3 linked regions of the Lonchura striata genome follow. The protein of the gene in region 2 purifies or fractionates together with the protein of the main gene of each other region. This does not show direct contact. Links are inferred from orthologs where the notes say so. Each region holds a gene or a part of one and is shown on either strand. Other genes may lie near its edges.

Evidence for each region.
Region 1: the proteins of VAPB (region 2) and MIGA2 purify together in Homo sapiens (affinity purification with mass spectrometry; 3 studies listed by BioGRID and IntAct, counting the BioPlex papers as one, with this or other methods). This does not show direct contact. The link is inferred for Lonchura striata from reciprocal best matches to the Homo sapiens genes VAPB and MIGA2.
Region 3: the proteins of VAPB (region 2) and FAM83G purify together in Homo sapiens (affinity purification with mass spectrometry; 3 studies listed by BioGRID and IntAct, counting the BioPlex papers as one, with this or other methods). This does not show direct contact. The link is inferred for Lonchura striata from reciprocal best matches to the Homo sapiens genes VAPB and FAM83G.

What each region holds. Positions count from the first base shown.
Region 1 is NC_134624.1:199,427-206,413, forward strand, and holds the start of MIGA2 (mitoguardin 2), read right to left. Parts: upstream 3,040-6,987; 5' UTR 2,943-3,039; intron 2,879-2,942; exon of another isoform or gene 2,801-2,878; intron 1,815-2,800; 5' UTR 1,668-1,814; coding exon 1,572-1,667; intron 933-1,571; coding exon 722-932; intron 1-721. Other genes in the region: SH3GLB2 (endophilin-B2), read left to right, coding at 3,426-3,488. UniProt on the Homo sapiens protein: Regulator of mitochondrial fusion: acts by forming homo- and heterodimers at the mitochondrial outer membrane and facilitating the formation of PLD6/MitoPLD dimers. May act by regulating phospholipid metabolism via PLD6/MitoPLD.
Region 2 is NC_134619.1:3,419,440-3,427,467, forward strand, and holds the start of VAPB (vesicle-associated membrane protein-associated protein B/C), read left to right. Parts: upstream 1-4,982; 5' UTR 4,983-5,299; coding exon 5,300-5,357; intron 5,358-8,028. UniProt on the Homo sapiens protein: Endoplasmic reticulum (ER)-anchored protein that mediates the formation of contact sites between the ER and endosomes via interaction with FFAT motif-containing proteins such as STARD3 or WDR44.
Region 3 is NC_134618.1:15,831,095-15,839,124, reverse strand, and holds the start of FAM83G (protein FAM83G), read left to right. Parts: upstream 1-4,991; coding exon 4,992-5,486; intron 5,487-8,030. UniProt on the Homo sapiens protein: Substrate for type I BMP receptor kinase involved in regulation of some target genes of the BMP signaling pathway. Also regulates the expression of several non-BMP target genes, suggesting a role in other signaling pathways.

The DNA.
Region 1 (6,987 bases), on a different chromosome or scaffold from region 2:
GGAGGGGAACATCACCTTGTCTGGTGTAACTGTGAATGGGCAAAGCAGTATCCAATACCTAGAAATAAGCCATAGAACTCCTGTCTGCTCTGAGACTGGTGTCAGTGGGGATCTGAGGCTGAGGAATGTATTCACTGCTTATGGACAGCAAGAGGCAAGTGGAAACAATCAAGCAAAAACTCCTCCACCTTCCCTCAGGACAGGCAGAACACGGACACAGCTCCCTTGATTTTCATGTTTCACCAAACAAATGCTTAATCCCTCAAGTGCTTTGCTGAGGGTCTGGATCAGTCTTACCCCTAAAATCAGTACAAGTGGTGAGGAAGCTGCCCAAGGTCTGGGAGTCACCACAGAGCAGGATGGACAGTCCCAACTGCTCAGCCTGGCTCAGGCCACCCTCCCTTTCCCTCAGCTGAGCACTGACATCATGAGATCAATGCACGCAGGTCACTGCATGCCCGGGTCATTATTATTGGGGCAGCCTACAGAAAATGGGATGGGAACTACAAACCCCGGGGAAAACATCAGCACACCTTTTGTTCCCAAGACTGTGAGCTCACAGTCTCTCCCATTGCTCTCCAAACCCCAAGCTCATGGCACTGCTCTTCAGAATTCCCACTTCGTTCCGCATCAGAGCCCTACACAAAATGGCTTTGCTCTCCCCTCCCCATCGCTCCCTGTACAACCTCCTTGGGGATTTTTCCCTTTTTGCGAGGCCAACCTTTCTTCACGGAGGAGACCCTCCTGGTTGGCAGGATGGGCACTGTGATCCCTCCTGGTTTAAAGCCACACTTGTCCGGAGCAATTTGCTTCTTTCGGCGGCGCCGCCGCTTCAGCTGATGAGCTGCAAGAGCCAAGGCCACCGTCCCCAGAGCCGTGGCAAACAGCACCTTGCGCAGGCCTGGAGAGAGCCGCAGCTGAGAGAAGACAGACTGTAAACACAAAAGAAATGGAAGAGCAACAATGAAAAACCAATTCCACAGTTTTTTGGGTTTTTTTAAATTTTTAAAACAGTGTTAAACATGAAACACCTTGGTTTTACCCTGCCACCCATAAAACACGCCCTCTGCTACACAACTAAGACGTAGCAGCAAAGAGACTGTGGAGCATCATTTTGACAGGACCTGGAGAACTTGGGTCTCGATCCTCATTTCCAAAACATACTGCAAAATCTGCACACAGCCTGGGACAGATGCAATGCAGGTTACCCAAATTCAGCTCTGAAACATTGGTGTGAAGTTGAGCTTTACTGCTCCGAGTGCTGCATCACTACAAGTGGGGAACATATTACTGTTCTTTGAAAGACAAGTCTTTTTTTAGAGCCTTTGATGAAGAGAAAGACTGAACATGGATATTCTCCCAGGGAGGGATGTGGGAAGTGCTTTTCTCTCCTCTCCAAGCCCACTCAGAACAACTCTCTTCCACCACCCCAAACTCCCCCTGCAAGTCCTCCAATCCCTCAAACTGCCCAGGAACCCCAGCACCACCCCACTGTGCCTCCATCTCACACAGTCAGCCCCACAGAGTCAGCCCAAGGAATGTGACAGGAAAACCCTTCCTGCTCCTTGTACCTGCCCAAAGGTCGTGTAAACAAACACGGGGATCTCTGCCACGGTCATGGCCAAGGCCTGCATGATGGACATCCCCTCTGTCCTTCTGAATGCCATGTCTGCAGCAGGATCCTGGCACCTTCAGGAGCCACAATGGGGAAGGGCACTTGTGGATGCTGTGTGAGCTGCTCACAAAAGAATCCAACTTTTCTCTGACATCTGGCTCAGAGTCCTGGAGTTGGCCTTCATCCAACAATCCTCCTCCTGTGGGAAGAGGGGGGAAATCAGGTGAGTGAGGGGAACACCCGCCCTGCTCCTTCCTGCACTTTACAAAACACACTTTATGTCACTTGGAGCAGCGAATGTAAAATATCTTCTCACCACCAGCAGCAATTCCTTTGTTTGTCCTACTAACCACGGGGACAGATTCCCAAACTGCTCTACAGCAGCAGCACCCTGGGATTTGACAGCTCCCAGAGATTTCTACATGTACCAGACCTGGCTGCACATGATTGGAGGGATTTTGTTTGCAGTCCCCATATAAAAAAAATCCCAATTATCCCAAATAACCATACACACATTTTCACTGCCAAAACTGCTTTCACACAGTTTTCTGTGCATCACAGCCCTGCTCAAGAGCCACCAACCAAAGGGGGTTTGCCCAGGAGGTTTCAGCGCTGCCAGCGGGGCTGGGCAGGAGGGATGTGCTCAGGTCAAGGACGGAGCGACAGAAGGCACTGATGTGTGACCCCAGAACGCGGTGACAAAGCCCTGCCCCGCCTGACGCCTCCCCGCACCCACTGCCCCGGCACCGCAGGGAATGTTCTCCGGGCAGTGGGAGCCCGCAGACACCGCACATGGGCTCTCCCCACAAGGTTAAACACAACGTCCTGGCCACGGCAGGACGAGAAGAGCAAAGTGCCGGGAATTTTGGGCGCAGAAAGCAGCCTGGGGTTACCATACCGGGACAGGGAGTACAGGCACCGAGGTACCAAGGCAGCCCCTCTGTTTGCCATCTCCCCCAGCCCTGCCCGCCGTGGGGTTCAGCCCCCCGGCCCGGCGGGGAGCGTCCCACGGGACCCCCCGCACCTGCACTGCAGCACCTGGGCCCTGCAGAAAGCGCTCCCGCAGCCCCGCAGCATCCCCCGCACCCCTGAGCATCCCCCCGCGCCCTCGGGCGCCTCGCAGCCCTGCCGACCCCCGGCCCCCCGCATGCATTCACCCCGCGGGCATCCCCGCCGCCCGCGCACCTGGAGGTCCCGCACCCGCCGCGCCTCCCACCCCCATCACCGGCTTCAGCCGGGGTCCGCGGCTCGGCGCTCCCCCCCCACTAACGATGGTGCGGCCCGGCGGGCCCGGCCGCAGCGAGCGGGCGCGGGCGGCACCACTCACCGCGGCGGGGGGGGCGCGCGGCCCCGCTCGGCGCCGTCTCTCCGCGCCGCGCGCCATGGCCGCGGAAGGGCAGCGTCTCCTTCCCCCGCGCCGCAGCCCACCCCGCCGGGGGCGGGGCCAAGCGGAGATCCTGCCCCCGCTCCCATTCCAGCCAATCAGCGCGGAGAGCCGCCCGCCGCCGCGCCAATCGGAACGCGCCCGGCTCGGGGATGTGGCGCAGAGAAGAGGTGGGGAGCGCGGCGCGAGTTCCTATTGGCGAGCGCTGACAGCTCCCTCCGCCGCCGCCGCCGCGCTTAAAGGGGCCGCGCCCGCCGCCCGCGGCCCCGCCCGCCGAGGCGCTGCCGGAACGCGCGGACCCACTAAGAAGCCGTGGCCCCTTTAAGAGGCGCGGGGCAGGTGTCACCCGCCGCTATAAGAGGCGGCGGCGCGGCGGGCGCGGTGACAGCGGGGGCGCGGCGCGGCCGGGGCGGCTTCGGGGCCGCCATGGAGTTCAACGTGAAGAAACTGGCGTCGGACGCGGGGGTCTTCTTCTCCCGCGCCATGCAGGTGAGGCGGGGCGGGTCGCCACGGCAGCGGCACCGCCCGGAGGACGCGGGATGGAGGCGCGGGGGATCCGCGGGTCCAGGCCCTGTGGGGCCGGGGGGGTTTCGCTCGGGCCCGGGGAGGCGGCGGGGGGAGATCCGAGCTGGGCGAGTCCGTCGGTGTGAGCCGCAGCTGCGTCCCCGCGGGAGCATCGCCCCCGGGATGCTCGGGGAAGGTCCAAGGGAAGCCCCGGTGCTCGGAATGGGGAGGGCGGCGCGGGGGGACATCCGTGCCTGGCGCTTGCTGACCTTAAAGAAACAAAGCGGTGTGATCTGGCATGCGGCTGCTTTGTCCGTGCCCGGAGCCGTCGGGAAGGGATGCGGAGATCTGTTGGAGCTGCCCGGGGAGGACGTGGAGTCTCCCACTCTGGAGGCATTCCGAACGCACCTGGACGCGTTCCCGTGTCGCCTGCTCCGGGTGACCCTGCCCTGGCAGGGGGCTTGGACGGGATGTTCTCCAGAGGGCCCTTCCAGCCCCATCCTTGTGGGATCCTGTGGGATGGTCCCTGCCTTGGGAAGGGTGGTGGTGTCCAGCACCTGGTCTGCCCTCCAGCCCCTAGGGAGGGGCAGGAGATCCCAAGCCCTGGGAAAGCACTGGGATGCTCAAGGGATGGGAAGGAGCCGCTGAGAGCCAGCAGGTCGGGTCTCACAGGGCTCTGAGGCATCAGGACTGCACGAGGAAATGGCAGGAGCCCAGTCGGGGGGTTTAAGTTGGAATTAGGAAAAGGTTCTTCCCCCAGAGGGTGGTGGGGCACTGAACAGGCTCCCCAGGGAATGGTCCCAGTCCCAGGGCCGGCAGAGTTCCAGAAGTGTTTGAACAACGCTCTCAGGCACACAGCAGGGTTCTTGAGGCTATCTCCGTGCAAGGCCAGGAGTTGTACTTCGATGATCCATGTGGGTCCTTCCACCTCAAAATATTCTGATATTCACAAACTTGAAATCAGGAGCTTCTGGGGATGAAGTAACACCCCCCGGAGCTGTGAAAAAAATCAATGTACACATGAGCATCAGACGTGCAGCAGGTGGTGAGATGGAGTGCTGAGTGTATTCATTTCTTGGGCATAATGACTGAAAAACTGCTCCTGTTTGGCCAGGAGAGGAGAGAGGCAGGTCAGAACTGGTTGGGATCCTGCCTGGAAGGTGAGGTCCAGCTGGTGGCTCTGGGACTGGGCTTCTTGCTCTGCCTATTGTGTGGGGGCTGGTAAACAAAGAGAGCAGAGCTGCCTCGTTCCAGACCTTCTGTGCAGTGGAGTAATTCTGGCTCTGTTGAGGACCGGTCTCCTGTAAGCAAATATCACCTCCTGTAACCATGCCAGTGAGTCATATGTTATGAAAAAGGGAGATATTAACTACAGGTGCAAAATAAGGAGCAGATGGAAAACCTAAAGATGCTGTTCTCATGCAAATGACCTTGGATGCAGAAGAAATGCTGGAAAGAAATCTTATGTTTAGAAGCATTATTGTAAGTCTCTGATAAGTGTTTTTTAGCTGCAAGGCGTAGGAAGGAGACAGGCCTGGGAACAGTGTCTGCACGCAGTGATTCCAGAGCAAGGAGGCGTTTATAAATCGTGGCTGCTGCCTGCTACACCTACTCCACTGTCTCGTACATGAATATTCATATGCTTAATTGCAGTAGTAATTGCTTGAAACCAAACAAGTACTGGCACTTGTGGACAGTGAGCAGGTGTGTAAGGAGGGGTAAAGAGATCTCTGAGGCTGAATACCACCTCATGAGGGGTCACTGCTGGGGGAATTCAGCCTTTTTGGGTGCCCACGGAGCCCTGGTGTGGGTGAGCCCTGCCCCGTCTCCCCCAGAGCCACCTCTGACAGCTGAGCTCTGCTGTGGGCAGTGAGGGCTGGGTTTGTAGCCCTCTTTAGCACTGCAGATGTTCTAGGATGGGAATAAGCTGTCTAGAAAAAGCTGTTTTCTGTAGCAGTTGGAGATGCTTTCTCCAGCTCCAGGCATTTAACAAAGTGATGTTTTACTGGAACTGCAGTGACTGGGAGGGAAATGGACTGGCCATTATGTGCTGTTCCACTCAGACAGCATTTGCTCCTGCTCTGTCTGGCAGAGCTGTCTGACCAACACAGGAGCTTCACTTGAACTGGAATTAGAGCTCAGCCAGGGGGAAAGGAGACAGGGCATGGTCAGCACAACACCTCTGGGCTGGCTCAGGGCAGGAGCTGGTTTGAAATCTGTCAAATACAACCCAACATAGGTGCTGCAAGAATGATTTTGGACAAGGCTCCCCATGACAAAACCCCAATCAAAACAGCTCAAACCCATTGCTTCCTTTACCTGCTCTTCCTTCTTTAGGCTTCAGTCAGAGGACTCCTCCAGAAAAGCAGAGCAGACAGAAAAGTTGGGGTAGGAAAGTAGTGGACAGCTCTGCTACCCTGGGAGTGGGGAACGAGCTTCTAGGCTGGGGCACTGCAAGGGTGTAGAGCTTGTGTGGGATTCAGCCTTCACCTGAGGATGGCCTCTGTTGACACCTGCACCAGTTGCAGCCATCAGATCTGTGAGGGGATGCAGCACCTGCAGACAGACTCCTAACAGGTCACTCTTCATCTTCACTTGAAGAAGGGCCTCTCTCTTTGATCAGATGCACCTTCCAGTTATCCTCAGTGGGTCTGATCCCAAACCTTGGCCAGTGGAAGCTGTGTGGTCACACATTGGATGCCTCTGTTCTATACAGGCTGCAAGCTCTGTCCTCCTCTTTCAGGGAGGTCTGGAAATGGCTGTAGGTGTCTGTCTTTTGTCAGTTCTGATGTGAGCAGGCTCTGGGTGAAAATGCCCAAGGGTAAATACAGCTTTTGGGTGCATATCCTCCCCTAATGTCATTACTAAAAGAGCCAGAGGCTGACTTACTCATCTTGAAGCCCCTGCAGACAGACAGACTGCCCCAGCTCCCAGGACTCTGGTGATAACATAGACTTTTATCATTAGTAGATAAAATAAACCCTCTGCTTGCCAATCTTATTAGTGCTCACCCTTTAAAAGTTGAGAGAGCAGAAGGTGACCCAAGGAAAGGACAAGGTCTTGGGAGGGACACAGCCAGGACAGCTGACCCAAGCTGCCCAAAGGGCTATTCCATACCATAGGACATTGTTCAGCAATAAAACCTGAGAGAGAGGAGGAAGTGGGACATTATTATAGAGCACATTTGTGTTTTGGAGTAACCTGGACACATACTGAGGCCCAGCTTCCCAGAAAGTGGTCACATGTTATTTCAGATGGGAAGAAGACAAGAAAATCTTTTGGTTTCCTTTGCTTCCACACACAACTTTTTTTTTTTTTTCATTAAACTGCCTTTATCTTGAGCTATGAGATTTTTCCATTTTATTTTCAACTCCCCTGTTCTGCTGAGGAGGGAAATGATTGAGAGGCTTGGTGGCACCTCATGTCCAGCCAAGGTCAAGCCACCATCACAGTGTTTTTCCTCTCCTGAATGCTGTGCTCATGA
Region 2 (8,028 bases):
CAACCTGCAAATTGATGTACCTAAATTTTTGCTTAAACACTAAGTATAAATTTTATTTAAGGAGCTAATTACCTTTGTAAAGATTTTCTTTTAAGAAGGTTGGGGTTTGCTTTTCTGGGCTTTTGTTGATGTTTTCACATATGTATTATTGAACAGACCAACTTTTTCAAATCTTGAAGGACATAGACCACTCCTCTGTTGTGCTCCTCATCACTGTGGGTGTGATACTGCATCCAGTTGTTGCACTTGAATATTCTGTAACTCTGACACCTTGATAGATTCACTGCTACTATCTTGCCTCACATTTACTGATGTTACAATATGTATTTCCTATTAAATCCATTATGTTTTCTGGGCAATTTGTTCTTTGTTTCCTTATGGGATTTAGACAGCAATAGGTGGTGAGTGTCTCTTTTGCCACAAAGTTCTAGAAGTATCTGTCACAGCAGCAAATATTTGTAAGCAAAAGGGTAATTCATTAGCACAGTCTTATGAAACTGTTACAGCAGCTGAGACCTGTGCCATGACTGTATTTTACCACATAATGAAGGCTAAAAGCAAATTCCCCTGGAGGAGCAAGTTATTGTAAGGCTCTTCTGTATTTTAGCTTTATTTCTTGTACTTCCTCTTTCTGAAATTGTGTATCCAACACTTACACCGTGATGGGGAGTTGATTTAAGGCACAGAAATTGATTGATTTCTGTAGCTAAGATACTTAAGATTTCCTGGCAATCTTCCCACTTGTAGCCCTCCACACTGAGGACAATGAAGAAAAAAAGGGGTTTTTCTGAATTAGAAACTGCATTTGTTTGCCCAAAAACAACCTGATATGCATAGAGCTCTTGCAGTGTCATAAATGTTTGCCTGTGGAATGTGTTAAGGCTAACCTTTGTATCAGCAGTTCTTGTCACTCATAACAACATTCTGCCTTTTCATTCTAGGATGGGTTAACCTGTTACAAGGGTTGAAAGGTCTGTGCCTTCTTACGATATTATCTCTAACTAAAACAAACTTAAGCCGCTCAAAGTTACAGAGCATTTGCAGCACTGTAAACTGCACAAATTTCCACCCATTGCTTCACTGCATGAAGTGTAGTCAGATTACTCGTGATGAAATATTGTAGTGATGAATTCCCAAGCATATGAATGTTTTGAGACTTTTTTTTAGTCTTCTCTTGGGCTGGTCCTGAGAGCGTGTACAGGTTTGTCTGTATTGTTGGTTTGTAGATGCTAATGAGGAAAACCAGGCTTTTGTTCTCTCCTTTTTGTTTGAGTCCTTACACTCCCATATAGTGCATAGAATGCAAATAAAGAAATGTTGATTTGATATAATGTAAACAGCCTTTTCAGCCTAAGCATTCATAATAAATTTTTATAGTGTAATAACATGCTAAATCACTACCAGTCTGATGTATTGTGCAAAAAAGAAAAAAGGTGTAAACATTTTATTAATAAAAAGCTTTGTTTATAAATATGCTGGCTTATTTATAAATGCTTCAAAATTCTCCCCATCTTAAAAAATGGTCTCTATAGCAATATAATTATTGAAGAGGAATGTAAGCAATAGCTTACATGTACAAATGACTGGAATAGCTGTTTTCCAAAAGTCCTGACTACTGGTGTTCAGAAACTGGAGCTTTTCCCTGGTTTATGTACACACAGACAAAGGCAGAAGATCCTGTGCAAAGAAGGGATGGGGGGAAACAGCAGAGAGAATGCAGCTTTTGTGTAACACTTCCTTTCTTTGCAGCACCGTGCCTGAGAAACTGCAGGCCACACACAGGCTTGTCAAGCAGGTCAAGGCCTGACAAATTCTATCAGGGCCAAGTTACTTAATACATTGCTTTTACCTTAGACTGCATGAACTGCACAGTTCTCAACTGCTTTGGCCAGGTTTCTGTCAATCAAAACTGTAAAGTGCTTTTAATATCTGCATAGTGTCGTGGGTCTGTTGTGCTGGGAAGGGATCTTCTGTTGTTTGTTAATACAGCCAGCTGGTTGGTAGATTGCTTTTTTTATACCACTGCTCTGTTGCTTATGTAGTCCTCAGAAATATGGATTTGGCTGCAGTTAGCTCACTTGTCTTACATGATATCTAAAAGATGTGGTTTGCACATCTAATCTGTTGAGTTAATAACAGCCTTCAAAATCTAAATAAACAAAAAGTCCTGTTTCACATAAAAAGTTTGGGTACAAGTTTTTACTTAGCAAATGGCTGCAGTTCCTATGCAGGAAACCCATACCATGTCATCTTTTGTTTGATAGAGACCTGGAATAATTTAAATTTCTTGTTACCTGCAATTTTGAAGTTATGCTCTTAGATGTGAACAAACTGCTTTTGAATAGTGTCAGAGGGGTTTTTCTAAGATGGCATGAATGTGCATCAGGGAGAGCAAAGGAAGGTAGCCACAAGGAATATGCTGGAACAGAGAGAAGAAGACATTTGTATATGTTTGCATAGGGAGTCTGGGAACTAAATGCAAACCACCACCATTGTGTGGTTTGCATACACACAATGAGAATGTTTCACTTGGAGCGAGTCTTTCATAGCTTCTAAGGCAGAAATTTTGCAAGTGATGAACTTGTTCTTTAAAATTGTTTCAGTACAAAGCTTTCAAGTGCTGTCCAGCATTTCCCTGCAGTGTTCATCCCAATTTTCTCTTGTTAATCAAAAATCCATGTGGGTAAGAAGTTGCCTTGTAGTCTTGTGGCTGAATTGTTTCCAGGGAGAGCTGTCTGTGGAACAGGGATGGGGTATTGCAGGTCAGTGAATCTGACCTGAACAACATTAAATGTACACTCATTTTTTACATGCAACAAAAACCTGACAACTTACGTTCACTAGACTTCATAAATTTTCAACTTAAACAGTGCTGTGCTTTATAAAACCTTCAGCCTGGATGAAAACGTGGGCGAGTCCTTCAAATACAAACAGGTAAGTTCAGAGCTGCCAATTAGGGCAAGGTGATACATCTTGGCAAATCCTTTAAGAGGTTGATCATAACGCTTCAGGGGCTTCTTTGTACTTCTTTCAGGAAAAGTAGAACTCGGGAAAGGTCTGGGCAGCAACACTTAATAGTTGTTTACTTAAGGGTTTTTATTATGCATGACTATATGTTGTGTAAAGCTTTCTCTCTTAGTCCTCGCCGTTAGGTCACAATTAACTTACTGATCTATATAAAGCTTGTCTTTTCTACTAATTACTGGTCCAAGAATGCCTGGCTTACAAATAGAAGGTGTTTATAAAATAAGAGATTAGGTAAAGGAAAGTAACCTTCCCACAGTACCAGCCAAGAAGGCTGCAAAGTATGAGTGAACTCAATCCTCTCCTGACTTGAGATCTAAAATGTTATGACATAACCTGCAGTTTAGGCTAAAAATTACCCTCCCCTCCCCCCCACCAAGGAGCAAAAATAGTAAGACCATCCAAATCTAGTTTCCTGGAAAAGAAAATGCACCCCTTTATGATTTTATGTGACCATTCTTTCCCAAAAAAAGGAATTTAAGGAACAAGAGCACTATTTGAGTGTTTTGTCCTGCAGTGCTGAAGCTTTAAAAAAATCAGTCCTGTTGTCCTGGCTGGAAGGAGTTGGCAGATTTCACTTGTATCATGCAAAACTAAGGGTTTTGTACTAAATACAGGTATGGGTTTGGTTTGTTTTGGCATGGAATGAAAGACAACTGAGAACAAAAAATATGAAATTGGATGGGAGGTGGTAAAGCACATGAGCAGGAAAACAGAGATTGTGGTGGACAGGTGTGGTGTATAAACACTGCAGATGTGCTCAGAGCAGTGAATGCCACTGTCCTGCTTAGGGGTGTTAATTGTAACATACACATCACTCATTTGACATTGCTTTTACTGCCAGAAAGGAGAACAATGCTCTTGCTGTAATTCTAGATCTTTTCAACTACCTTATGCAGTTTTGGCATTTATTAAGTCAAATAACGTGATAAAAAGAATTTGCGTGAGGGAAAGGTGCACTGCATTATGTACATTATACTGGTATGAAAAACGAATTTTCTTTGGAAGCTTTTTATTTCTGCAAATGGCATCTCCTCCTGAAGTAATGTATGTATAAAGTTCAGTATGTATAAAGTCCAATGAACACTTTTTACTGTACATAAACTCCAGTTTTTAAGACCAGCATATTTCTGCTGCTAACAAGGGCATCCCAAACTCCTGCCTCTGACAGGTTACAGCAGTGCTTTATAAATTCTTAGGAATTTGTCAAATGTTTAAAACAATCTGAGGAGAGGAGCAAAAAGCTTAGTGTTGCTGTAATTACACTGGCCTAGGGCCATCAATAGAGCTGCACTATATGTTAAACCATGCTGTAAATTTCAAAAAACTGTTTTAAAACATTGGGGTAAAAACTAACCAACCAAAACTAAACACAAAAAAAAAAAAAAAATTCCCAAAACACATCCACCACAAACCACCCCAAAACAAACATAAAAACCCCAACGAGCAACCCAAAACTTTAAGAAAGGGGAGGGGGGATGTCTTAAAATCTGAGGTGACCTGAAGTTCTGGGTTTATTCATTAAAAAGCGAGTATTGCCTGCGGCTCGATGCCGGTTCCCAGGGCTGCCCTGGCGCTGTAAGGCTGCGCCCCGATCCTTGCGGGCCCGGGAGCTCCTCCTTTCCCGGGAGCGCTTCCCGGGAATCCCGGCGGCGCTGGCAGCGGGCAGGGGCCCGAGGGCTTCCCCTGAGGCCACACGGCGTCAGGCCTACAGTAACACGCTGCTTCACAAGGCTTTTATTGCAAACCACGCTTTCCAGTGACCATTAAACTTTGCTGATGAGCCCTCTTTGTTCCCGAAACGCTCCGGGCTGGCACCCCCGGCCCCAGGAGCGCCCGAGGAGCGGCGGCGCGGAGCCTCCCCCCGCGGCCCCTCACGGCGGGGCCGGGCTCACGTCAGCCGCCGCCGCAGCCTCTCCGCGGGCCCCTCCGTGCTGCATCATCCCGCCTCCCGCCCGCCCTGCCCGGCAGCGTGTGCGCCGCCAGCCGCCGCCCGACCTCCGCCCGCGCCTGTCCCCGCTCCGGGACCGCCGGGGCAGCGCGAACAGCCACCCGGGCCAGGGTGAAACAGCACCGGAGCGACGAGCGAGCGAGCAGCCGGCAGAGGGTGAACCAGCACCCGGGCGAGGAGTGAACCCGCCAGCGGGCGCGCCCCCCGCTCGCCTTCCCTCCTCCCTCCCTTCCTCCTTCTCTCCCCTCTTCCTTCCCCTCCCTCCCCGTCCCTTCCTCTCTCCGCCTGGTGCCGCCACCGCCGAGGAGGAGGAGGAGGAGGAACATGGCGAAAGCGGAGCAGGTCCTCAGCCTCGAACCGCAGCACGAGCTCAAATTCAAAGGTACGAGGCGGCCGCCGCCGTCCCTCGCCGCCGCTCCCGCGCCGGGCGGGCGGCGCGGCCGCGCTCGGGGCCCGCTCCCCGGCAGCCATTTTCCGGGGGCCGGGCACCGCCGGCAGCTAAAATGTCCTTCAGCGCCGCGCCCGCCGCCCGCCCGCGGGGGACCCCCGCGCCGCCCTCAGCGCTGCCGCAGCCGCGGCGCGGGGGGCCCGGCCGCCGCCTTCCCCGGGCGGCAGCGACAACACCGCGTGTGCCCGCCTGACCTTCCCGGGGGCGGCGGCCGGCAGCGGGGGACCCGCGGGACAGCGCCCGCCGCTGGGCTGCGCGCCCCAGGCCCCGCCGCGCGTCTGTGCGCGGCCCCGGCCCAGAGATCGGCGCTGTAATGTAGGACGGCGATGTCCGTGAGGCAGGACTGGGAACCCAGGTGCCACAAACCCTAGGAATTGATAAAGGGTTTCATCGAAAGACAAAATCGGGGAATTGCTAGCAGTGGAGCTGTTTAAATGTTCTGCGTGGCTCTTCGGTATAAAATCTAGACGGAGGCAGGATGTTGGGAATAAGATAACGAATAAGGGTTTTTTCTGAAATGTGTCCCAGGCGCTGTGGGGTTGTGATCATGTCTCTGGCCAAAAACGCGAGGCCTCTGGCCAGGTGCTGGGCGGCACTTCCTGGCTTTTCCTGCTTATTATTAGTATTATTATTATGATGATTTAGCAAGCTCTTTGGCTAAGTAAGTCACGAATAGTCTGCCTGTGCAAAAATCCATCTTTTAATTTATTTTAAAAAGTCTTGAATGGGTTTGGGCTTCCACTGGCATGGAAATTCCTGCCTTGCAGCCTGACAGCACAGCTGTAATACAATATTCTGGGATTACAAATAAGCAATCAGCAAGTTTATTTATGTGACCAGAGTCAGAGGTGTTTTATAGCTTTGATAATTATCTGGCAAATAAGCTTTTTTTAAAAAATAGGGATTTGTTTATTGGCCTCTGGCAAAAAATAATACTTCTTTAAAAAAAGCTTTCATGTACATTTTTAAATATAGAGGTAGTCTTTACCAGTTTTTATTAATAAATATATTTGAACTATTAATATGAAGTGAGTTTTATCTAACAGCCTGTTAATAAACACTGGGAGGAATGAATATATCTTTGTTGTAAGCTGAAGTTGTTATGGCAGCAGTATCAAGCATGCTTAAGAAGAAAACTATTGTTGTTTTGACGTTCTTTGTGTTAAGTATGATTAGATTAAAATCACCTCTTGTTCTGGACAAAATTGCTTTCAGTAAACAAGCAAACCCAAATCCAAGGTGGGCAAAAAGTGGGGCCTTAATTGGTGCTGACTTGCTAATGAGATGTAATTGTGGTTCAGGGTTTGTTTTTCTTTCTTTTCTTCATCACAGGTAGATAGAAACCTTGCCAGACTGTTTTTTCTTGAAGTAATGATAATTTGTCAGGCTGTCTTTCTTTCAGATGAGGTTCTGGGCTAAATAACTAGTGGCCATTGAAGTTAAATCAACTAACCATAGCGCTTTTGGTTGCCAGATCTTTAGCTAGTAACACATACTTCTTATAACATAAAATGCTGCTTGACTAACTGCAGCTATTAAATGGCTTAGTTTCAAAGTACACTTAAATATTAATGTTCAAACAGACTTAATGCTGTGGGCAGCATTCATATGCTTTGGCAATACCTCTGCCTTACAGTCCTTTCTAGCAAGCAGTGCTGACCGCTGTCCTTCATTCAGGAAACTCCAGGCTGAAGTATTCATGAAGTAAATTCTGCTCTAAGCATTTCTTGCCCTGCTGATCTTGTGATGACATACTGCCTGGTGACAGGGCTGAAATGATATTGTTACCTTTGTAAATAGTTGCATTTATTTCCAGAGTGTTCCTTGGCCCTGTATAAGTACATCCAGGCTGACAGAGGTCATGGAGCTGCTGACTGGTACAAGCATCCTCATGATGTGTGCTGAAAGACATGGTGTTCAGTGTAAGAAACTGAGATTGGGCTGTAAACCAAATACCTGAAATGGTAAAGGGCTGAATCCAAATGCAGGCAGGTAAAAAAAGCAGAAAATTGTTCGCTCTGAGGCTGTTGAAAAGCTCTGTGTAGCTCTTTAGTATAAAATTTAGAGAGAGGTAGGATGTCGAGAATAATACCATGAATGAGGATGTCTTCTATAATGTGTGCCAGTCACTTTGGGGTTGTAACCATGGCCTGCACTTTTAGTTTGTAAGGGTTGAAGTCTATTTTAAAGAAGCTTTTGTAGCCCCTTGGTTTTGCAGTGAATCTCATAAATTCATTTGGTGCTGTGTTTCAAAATACTTGTGCTTGTGTCTCGTTTGAAAAAAATATCAAAGGAGTTTTTCATGCTGGAATTTTTTTTTCACAGCATGTGAACATGAGCAGGGGTTGTCTTTCCTCCCGCCTCGCATCTCCTACAGCAGAGCACACATGCTCCAAAATAGCATCAGCGTGTGCTGTGCTGAAATGCAGCTGTGAGCCGTGGGAGGCAGGACACCATTAGGTGGCTGAAGGTGCCCACTTCTTGTCCTGGTCTCTGATACCATGTGAAATTGGAGCTTCACTGGCTTGCCAGTGACTTCCTCCACTTCTTGGTCATTGTAGGCTTGCAAAAAAATTATCCAGCTAAAGGTTTACAGCTCAGCGTT
Region 3 (8,030 bases), on a different chromosome or scaffold from region 2:
ATCTCTGAGGAACCTTCCAGCCCAAACCGTGATCCCAGGATGTGGCATCTCCTCCCTGGTGGGTGTGGGGGCAGCTGGGACCTCCTGACAACTACTCAGGAGCCAACCCACGCTGAGGAAAACCTCACACAGCTTTTTTCCTTCTGCCCAGCACATTTCCTTGGCTCTGTCCCTACGACCCGCAGCGTCCTGCTCGCACTGAGGGACCTGCCCGGGATCCACCGCAGCCCCGGGCGGGCAAAGCCCTTCGCAAACATTCATTATCCATCCTGGGGAAAGCCGTCCTGCCTTGTCACACCCTTGTCACCGGCAGCCAAGCCAGGGAGGAGCTAAGCAGGCCCTGAGCCAAGCGCCCCTCTTCCCAAGGGGCACAACACGGGACCCCCATTCCCCGGGATCGCTGCCCATCCCCTTTCTGGAAGGGGATGTGGAAGATGCCAAGAAAAAGCCGCTGCTGCAGCCGCTGCTCCAGCCGAGCCTCGGCACAGCCCTGACCCAGATTGGCTCCTTGTTGTTGTCTCCCCGGCCGGTGGCACCGAGCCGGGCATTCCCCGGCGCTGAGTGCGCCGCCCGGGGCACCCCCGGGCACCCCGGGATGTGCGGGCAGCGCTGCCCTCCGCACTGCCCAGCGCTGCCCTCCGCACTGCCCAGCGCTGCCCTCCGCACCCATCCCAGCTCCAGCGCTGCCCTCCGCACCTCCACATCATTTGTGGGACCCCCAAACACAGACCTTCCCACACCATCTATGGGGTTCCCCCAAACACAGACCCTCCCACACCATCCGTGGGACCCCCAAACACAGACCTTCCCACACCATCTATGGGGTTCCCCCAAACATAGACCCCCCCACATCATCTCTGGGACCCCCAAACACAGACCCCCCCACATCATCTCTGGGACCCCCAAACACAGACCCTTCCACACCATCTGTGGGACCCCCAAACACAGACCTTCCCACACCATCTATGGGGTTCCCCCAAACACAGACCCCCCCACATCATCTGTGGGGTCCCCCCAAACACAGGTCCCCCCCAATCTCCAAGCCCTGGCAGCAGCTCTGGGGTGCAGCAAAGCCCAGTGGGGATGGAGTCACCCCTGGCACCCACCTACCCCTGCCATCAGCTCGACCACCAGCCTGGGGCAGGCGATGCTGGAGCAGCCCAGGGTGGCCCCGCACACACGGGTGCACTCCTCGGGGTCCACACAGCCCACGGAGTCTGGGGGACAGAGGCAGGTGACAAGCTGAGACCCCTGACAGGGTGGGGGCCAGCCCTGCACCCCTTCCCCCCTCATGCCCCCTCCCACTGGGCAGATGTTGAGCCTTTGCCGTGGCCACCGTGGCCAGACCTTGGCAGGACAGCGGCTGGAGGAGCAAGGAGCACATCCCACCCGAGAGCTGAAAATCCTCCTCTGCTCCTCACTCCCACCCGCAGCTCCAACACCTCAGGGCCCGTCCCACCCCTCGCCTCCCGCTGCCCAGCCCAGTGCAGGTTGGATTTTTCCCACATTAAACCCAGTGACAGCTGCCAGGGGGAATCTCCAGAGCCAGAGGCAGCAGAGCCCCGGGGCCAGCCCGGTTCCTGCACCCCTGTGGCAATTTCCTGGGCATGGGCAGCACCAGCAGCTCCTGGGATTTGCGTGGCAGCGCTCCAGGACCATCAACACCCAATTATTTCTATGTCTCAACGAGTGATGAACCCTTTTTTTTTTTTTTTTTTTTAATTGTTACGCTCATAAAATATTGAAATGAATGGAAATTAATGTCAGGCATTAATATGGATGGGCTGCCCGGCTCTCCGGGCTGCACCCGCCCAGGCAGGAGCACGGGGACGAGCACGGGTGATCCCTGCACAGGACTGGCAGCACTGTCCTGGTTCTCCTGCCCGGTGACCTCCACCAACGAGCCCTCAGCCTCCCAGTTTGTCCCAAACACTGGTGGTGACACCTTGGCACCTTCCACAAAGGAGCACGGGGTGAGCTGCGAGCACGACTCGGTTGTGGGCAGACCACAGGCCGTGCTCAGCACATCCCAAGGATGCCAAAAAGCCCAGCCTGGACTCAACCCTGAGGTCAGAGTCAGCGCTGAGGCTCCAGTGACTCCTTCCTGCAGCAGCCCTGAGCAAAGCTGCCATCAGCGCTCTGTGCCTCAGTTTCCCCTCTCTAAAACACCACGTTGTGCACGGCTCCATGCAAATCGTTGGTGGCTGGAGGGTGGAAAACGTCCCAAAGGGCAAGGCAGCGTCTGGATGTTGTGTTCCAGCTGAAATGCCTGCCCCAGGCCTCAGCTCTACCGAGGAACACTCGGTGGCACCTCGGCGTGAGTGGGAAGCAGGATCCTCCGAGCCAGGAGCAGCGCTCGGTGTCATACCCCACTGCCTCACTCTCAGGCCCGCTGCTAAAAATGGAAAATTAGTTAGGACCTTGTAATTAATGCTTCCATCTGCAGGAAAGGGGCCGTGTCTGCAGCGGGTGCTGCCTGTCCAGCTGGATCCACCCGGGGACGCCTGGAACGATGAGGACCAACCTGCTCAGCCACAGCCAGCCAAGCCTGCAAACAGGGGCTGCACCCAATTCGGGGCCTAAATTCACCACGTGGGGTGAAGAAACGCCCGGGATGGGGAGATGGGGGACCCAGGTGAGCATCAGGTGGAGATGCTGCAGGTGTGGGGTTCTGCCACCCCAACCCGCCCCCGCCAGCAGAGCCAGCACATGGCGGCTGGGATGCAGCATTTACCCCACATGCAATAAATCATTAGTGCACACACACCCCGTGAAAGAGTCTGTAAATCTCCTGGCACAATAAAAACACCTGGAGCGAGCAGCTCAGGCGGCCAAAACCACAACACGCTCCTGCCACGCCACACACCCACACTCCAGCACCCATCTGGGCCATCTCCCATCACACCCAAAGAGGTCCTGGGTGCTGGCTCAGTGCTCACCTCTGTCCATTTGCTGTCCCCATCGCTGCCAGCAGCGCTGGGATTTCACCTAAAACACCCAGGTTTGGTTCCAGCCCCCTCAGTCTCTGCTGCAGCAGTCAGTGAGCAGGCCACAGCATGGGGATGTCATCCCACCCCTGGGAAATCCCTGCAGGGTCAGCCACAAAGTCACCAGCTCCACCTGAAACACCTCCTGAGCTGATATTCTTCGGGAGCCAAGCACTTGGATCTTCCCCAAGTTGATGTGGCACTTGGGGACGTGGTGTAGTGCTGGAGCTGGCAGCGCTGGGTTGGACTCGGTGACCCTTTCCACCCTTAGTAATTCCATGATCCCAACAAACTGCTGCCACATTCCTGTGTCCCCCAGCCCTGCTGCACCTCCTGCACAGGCCAGGCCAGGGCTGGGCACAAGCCCACGCAGGATTTGTCACTGTGGGACGAGCAGGGCCACTGTGCCTGCAGAGAGGAGCACTTTGATGGCCCAGCGCCTGGCCAGACAGGCGGCTTTGCCCCAGGAGCCTGACTCAGGCAGGGCCCTCATTTATCCGGCTGTGAATCCAGATGAGCCACGCCAACGCCAGGGACAGACACACAGCCCATGGCACTTCCCTTTTTTTGCATTGGCGCAAGAATCTGACCCCAATTCCTGAAATTCGTCTTCAGCTGAGCTTCCAAGAGAAAAGCTCAAGAGAGCTTGCACAGTTCTGGCTTGTGAGCACCAAGTGGTGAATCCAGGGTGGGGTTTTTTGTCCATCTCACTGTTACTAATGAGACCTGTCACAGCCAGATCTGGTGATGTGGCCGTGACCACGCTGTAGAAAAAGGGAGAGGACAAGACAGGACATGACAGGACAGAATAGAATAAATGGTTTCATTTGGAAGAGCCCTACAACAATCATCTGGTCCCACTGCCTGACCAATTGAGGGCTGACCAAAAAAATTAAGGGCATTGTCCAAATGCCTCTTAAACACTGACAGGTTTGAGGCCTTGACCACCTCTCTAAGAAGGTTGTTCCAGGATTGGAACACCCTCTACGTAAAGAAATGCTTCCAAATATCCAGTCTAAACCTGCCTCAGCGCAGCTTTGAACCTTTCTGGCAGCTCCCACTCGGTGCTGCCCACCCTGGACCCACCCTGGCTCCGAGCTCCTGCACCAGCACAGGAGGGGTTAACCACAGGACAGAGCTCTTTGGCTGGGAAATATTGACTTACCAGCCGGCACAGCGGGAGAGGGGGGAATCTCAGAGGGAGATTTAAAAAACAAATAAATAACGAAACGCCCAAACCCTCTGGAGCCGCCCAGGACCCTCCCACACCCGGGCGCTCCGGGGGGCTCCGGGCGCCGCAGGTGCGAGGGCGCACCAGCCGAAAGAGTTAATCGGGCTGGGCAGGGAACGTGTGAAGGCAGCATGTGACTGCAGGTGGGGCAGGGCGGAGGGATGAATCACTCTTTTCCTTTTCCTCTTTTCACTTCTCGCTGTTACCTGTCCGGCCCGGCACTGCGCGCCGGCAGAGCCCCGAGCCGAGCGCTGCCGGGGCGATGCGCAGGAGGCCGGGGCTCGGCGCCGAGCATCCCCCGCTCCTCCGGGAACGAGAACCGGCCACGGCACCTCGGCCGACACGTCCTGCTCCTCGCTGCCCTGCCTTTAGCCGCTTTTCCCTTTGTTTCTTCCCCAGTTTTTTTTATTTCATCCGGTGTTAGCGTTGTCTTGCGAGAGCGGAGGATGAGGAGGGAGCGGACGCGGGGGTGAAGGACCTTCCCGGTGCTGTAGGTACACCTGAGCTGTCTGCCCCAGCCTGCTGGGGGAAGCTCCGCGTTTTCCTTGCCAGAAAGCAAACCCTCCTCCCCGGCAGGAAGAGCTCCGGCGTGGCAGGAGCCGTTGGAAAAGGGAGCGGTGCCTCCGCCGAGCTGCGCGCTGAGCCGGGGAGGGTGAAGCGAACTGTGTGTTTAAGGACTGGAGAATAATTAATTCCTATTTATTGCCGACAACGCGGCGCTCGCCGGCGGCACAGAGCTCCCTCGGGACAGGGGACCGGCGTGCGGGGTCACCATGGCTTTCTCCCAGGTGCAGTGCCTGGACGACAGCCACGTCAACTGGAGGTCCAGCGAGTCCAAGCCCGAGTTCTTCTACAGCGAGGAGCAGCGCCTGGCCCTGGAGGCGCTGGCCTCCCGTGGCCCCGACGCCTTCTATGAAGTCCTGAAGAGGGAGAACATCAGGGACTTCCTTTCCGAGCTGGAGCTGAAGAAGATCCTGGACACGCTGGAGACCTACGACCCCGGCTCCGAGTACATCCCGCGGCACGGCAGCAGCGGCGGCGGCAGCGAGGGCGACAGGAACAGCCAGGGGGACGAGCAGGACGTGGCCCCGTCCCTGGAGTACTGGCCCCAGCGGTCCGACCGCTCCATCCCGCAGCTGGACCTGGGCTGGCCCGAGACCATCGCCTACCGCGGGGTCACCAGGGCCACGGTCTACATGCAGCCACCCATCGAGGGCCAGGCGCACATCAAGGAGGTGGTGAGGAAGATGATCTGCCAGGCTCAGAAGGTGAGGTGCGCCGCGGGGACGGGGCAGGATTGGCCCCAGGGCATCGTGCTCCAAGTCCTGCCCAGCCGGGCAATCCCTGTCCCGCGGGAAGCTCTGCCCGAGCAGAGGCAGCGGGGCCAAGCCGGCAGGTTTTGCCCTGTAACCAAGTGCTCGGGGGTCGGGTTTTGCTGGGGATGCTGCCAGCCGGGGTCAGCACTCCTGGCAGCAGCACAGCCCTGCCCAATATCCACCCAGCAGCTCTGTTCATCTTGGGGTCCCTGCAGGGCTCTGGGGAGAAAAACGGGTTGAGCTGTTCTCCAGCTGGTTCCAGCCACTCCACACTCGTTATTCCCGGTGTGACAGCATGCAGGAACCTGGGATTGTGTCCTGGTCTCAGCCCTGGGTCCACCAGCTGTCCAGTATTGACCCTGGGGTCATGGCCCGGCCTCAGTCCTCGTGTCCACCATCCGTCCAGTCCATGGCCCTGGAGCAAAGTACTCAAAGCTTCTGGCCTAGCACTGACCCACACGAGGGTCAAGCTTGGCCCAAGATGGCTGTGGGGCTCCAAGCTGGCTCACCCTGGCTCTCAGAGGACAAGGATGAGCTGGTGAGCAGGAGGGACAAGGCTGGGCAGATGCTGAAGGGATTTGGGTTGAGACTTGTCCTCCCTGTGGCACCAAGCCGAGGAGCAGGGAGTGGGGATGCATGAGCCATCACCCAGGGAAGGAGGGAGATGGTGGCCTGTGCTGAAGGCCAGCAGAGGTGGGAAAGTGCTGCTGGTGTTTCCCAGTGACCCAGTCCCAGGAGGGGTTGGTACCTGCTGGTTTCTTGGTGCTTTGAAGCTCCTTGGGTTCTGTGAATCCAGTACCGTGAGAGCTCCAAGGAAGGAGCTTCCCACCCCAGAGGCTGTTCCAGCAGGGAAACAGGGAGAGCCTGGAGCAGAGGGGACAGGCTGGGATGCACCAGGTCTGCCTGGCTGCTCCAGAGATAGTGCTGGGCTTTGCAGATCCTGCTAGGAGAGAGGGAAACCTGTGACATGCAGCCAGCAGAGCTTCTCCAGACCAGCTCAGGCAGAAAAATGAATCTCTCAAAACATCCAAGGCAGCGGGATCACGGGAATGGCTGTTGGGGGTGTCAGGGCTGGGGGCAGGAGCCACCTCTGGCCACTGTCACCTGGCAGAAGTGGAGGTGACTTGTGCTCACCTGTGACATTTTCCCCGCCAAAGGGGCAAAGGGAAGGGAGAGCTGTGGGCTGGAGGATGGGAGAACAATCCCACAACAAACAATGGCTCATCTTCGGGTCTTTGCCTACTCACCGCTTCCCAGCTGCCCCCATGCGGGCAGCTCCTCCTGAGTCATCCCACACCCTGCTCCTGCTCCCAGGGCTGAGTCAGGCACATCCCCACCTCCCCTGGAGCCTCTCCAGGACACGGGGACGTGGCCACGGTTGATGCTGCTGTGCTCATCCCCGGTTCTCCATGGCCCCTGAGCAGGGCTGGGCTCTGCCTCCCGCCCCAGACGGGCCCTGCCTGTGGGATGAGACATGGTGACACCACTGGGGACACGCAGGAGCCTGCTCGGAGCTTCTGGTGCCTCAGGAAACGTAGAGATGGGTGAGTGCTGAGTGCTGCAGGGTCTGGGGTGGCAGGAGTTACAGGAGTGGAGTTCTTCCATGGTCTCCCATCCCGTGTTTCAGCACAGATCTCCTTGCAGCTGAGCCTGCTGTCACACGGCAGAGCCCAGGTGACAACTTGTGGGTGCTCCTAAGGGTGGGGGACACTGGGCTAGACCACCCTGCTGATCTCTGCCAGGGCTCAAGGTCTTCGCAGCAGCTCCAAGGTGAAAGGGTTTGGCTGAGGAAGCTGAGAGTGGACAAAGGCACCGTCCTGCTGCCACCCTCAGATGTCACACACGCTGTCCGTGTGCTCTGTCCTCCCTGCCCCAGGGCTCTCCACCACGTGCAGAGGAGCACAGGCTTGGGAGAAGTTCACAATTCCCTGACCCTTGCTCCAGACGCCGTCCCAGACGCTCGCTCTGCTCTCGGTGCCAGTCGCTGTCCCATGGCCGGGAGAGCAAAGTCCTGCTGCTGGCCCAGGCGAGTTGAGAGCTCAGGAGAGCAGTGCTGGGGCTGGGAGGTCACCCAGGCTCCCAGGGTGAGGAACCCCAGGGATGTGAGGCTGCTCTGAGGGTCACAGGAGCCCTGGTGCTCACAGGAACGAGCCCAAACCCTGCCGAGTTCAGCGCCTCGGACCCAGGCGTGCCAGACAGGGAGATGCAAATGATCCTCTCCTCTTGCTGGGAACGAACAGGAGAAAGGAGAGGCAGGATCCTGTGGCCACATCCCTGAAAATCATCTTTGTGGCCCCCAAGCAGAGCTGCTGAGGGGTTTCACCCGGCCGAGCCGTGGCGCAGCCGTCTCCTCCTCGCTGCAGATCCCCGGGGCTGCCAAGCTCACAGCCTGGACACCAGGAACAATTTCCTCGTGGAAAAGCTGGTCAGGACTGCAAGGGGCTGCCCAGAGAGGTTTGGAGTGCCCATCCTGGAGGTGTCCCAAGGAATTTGTGG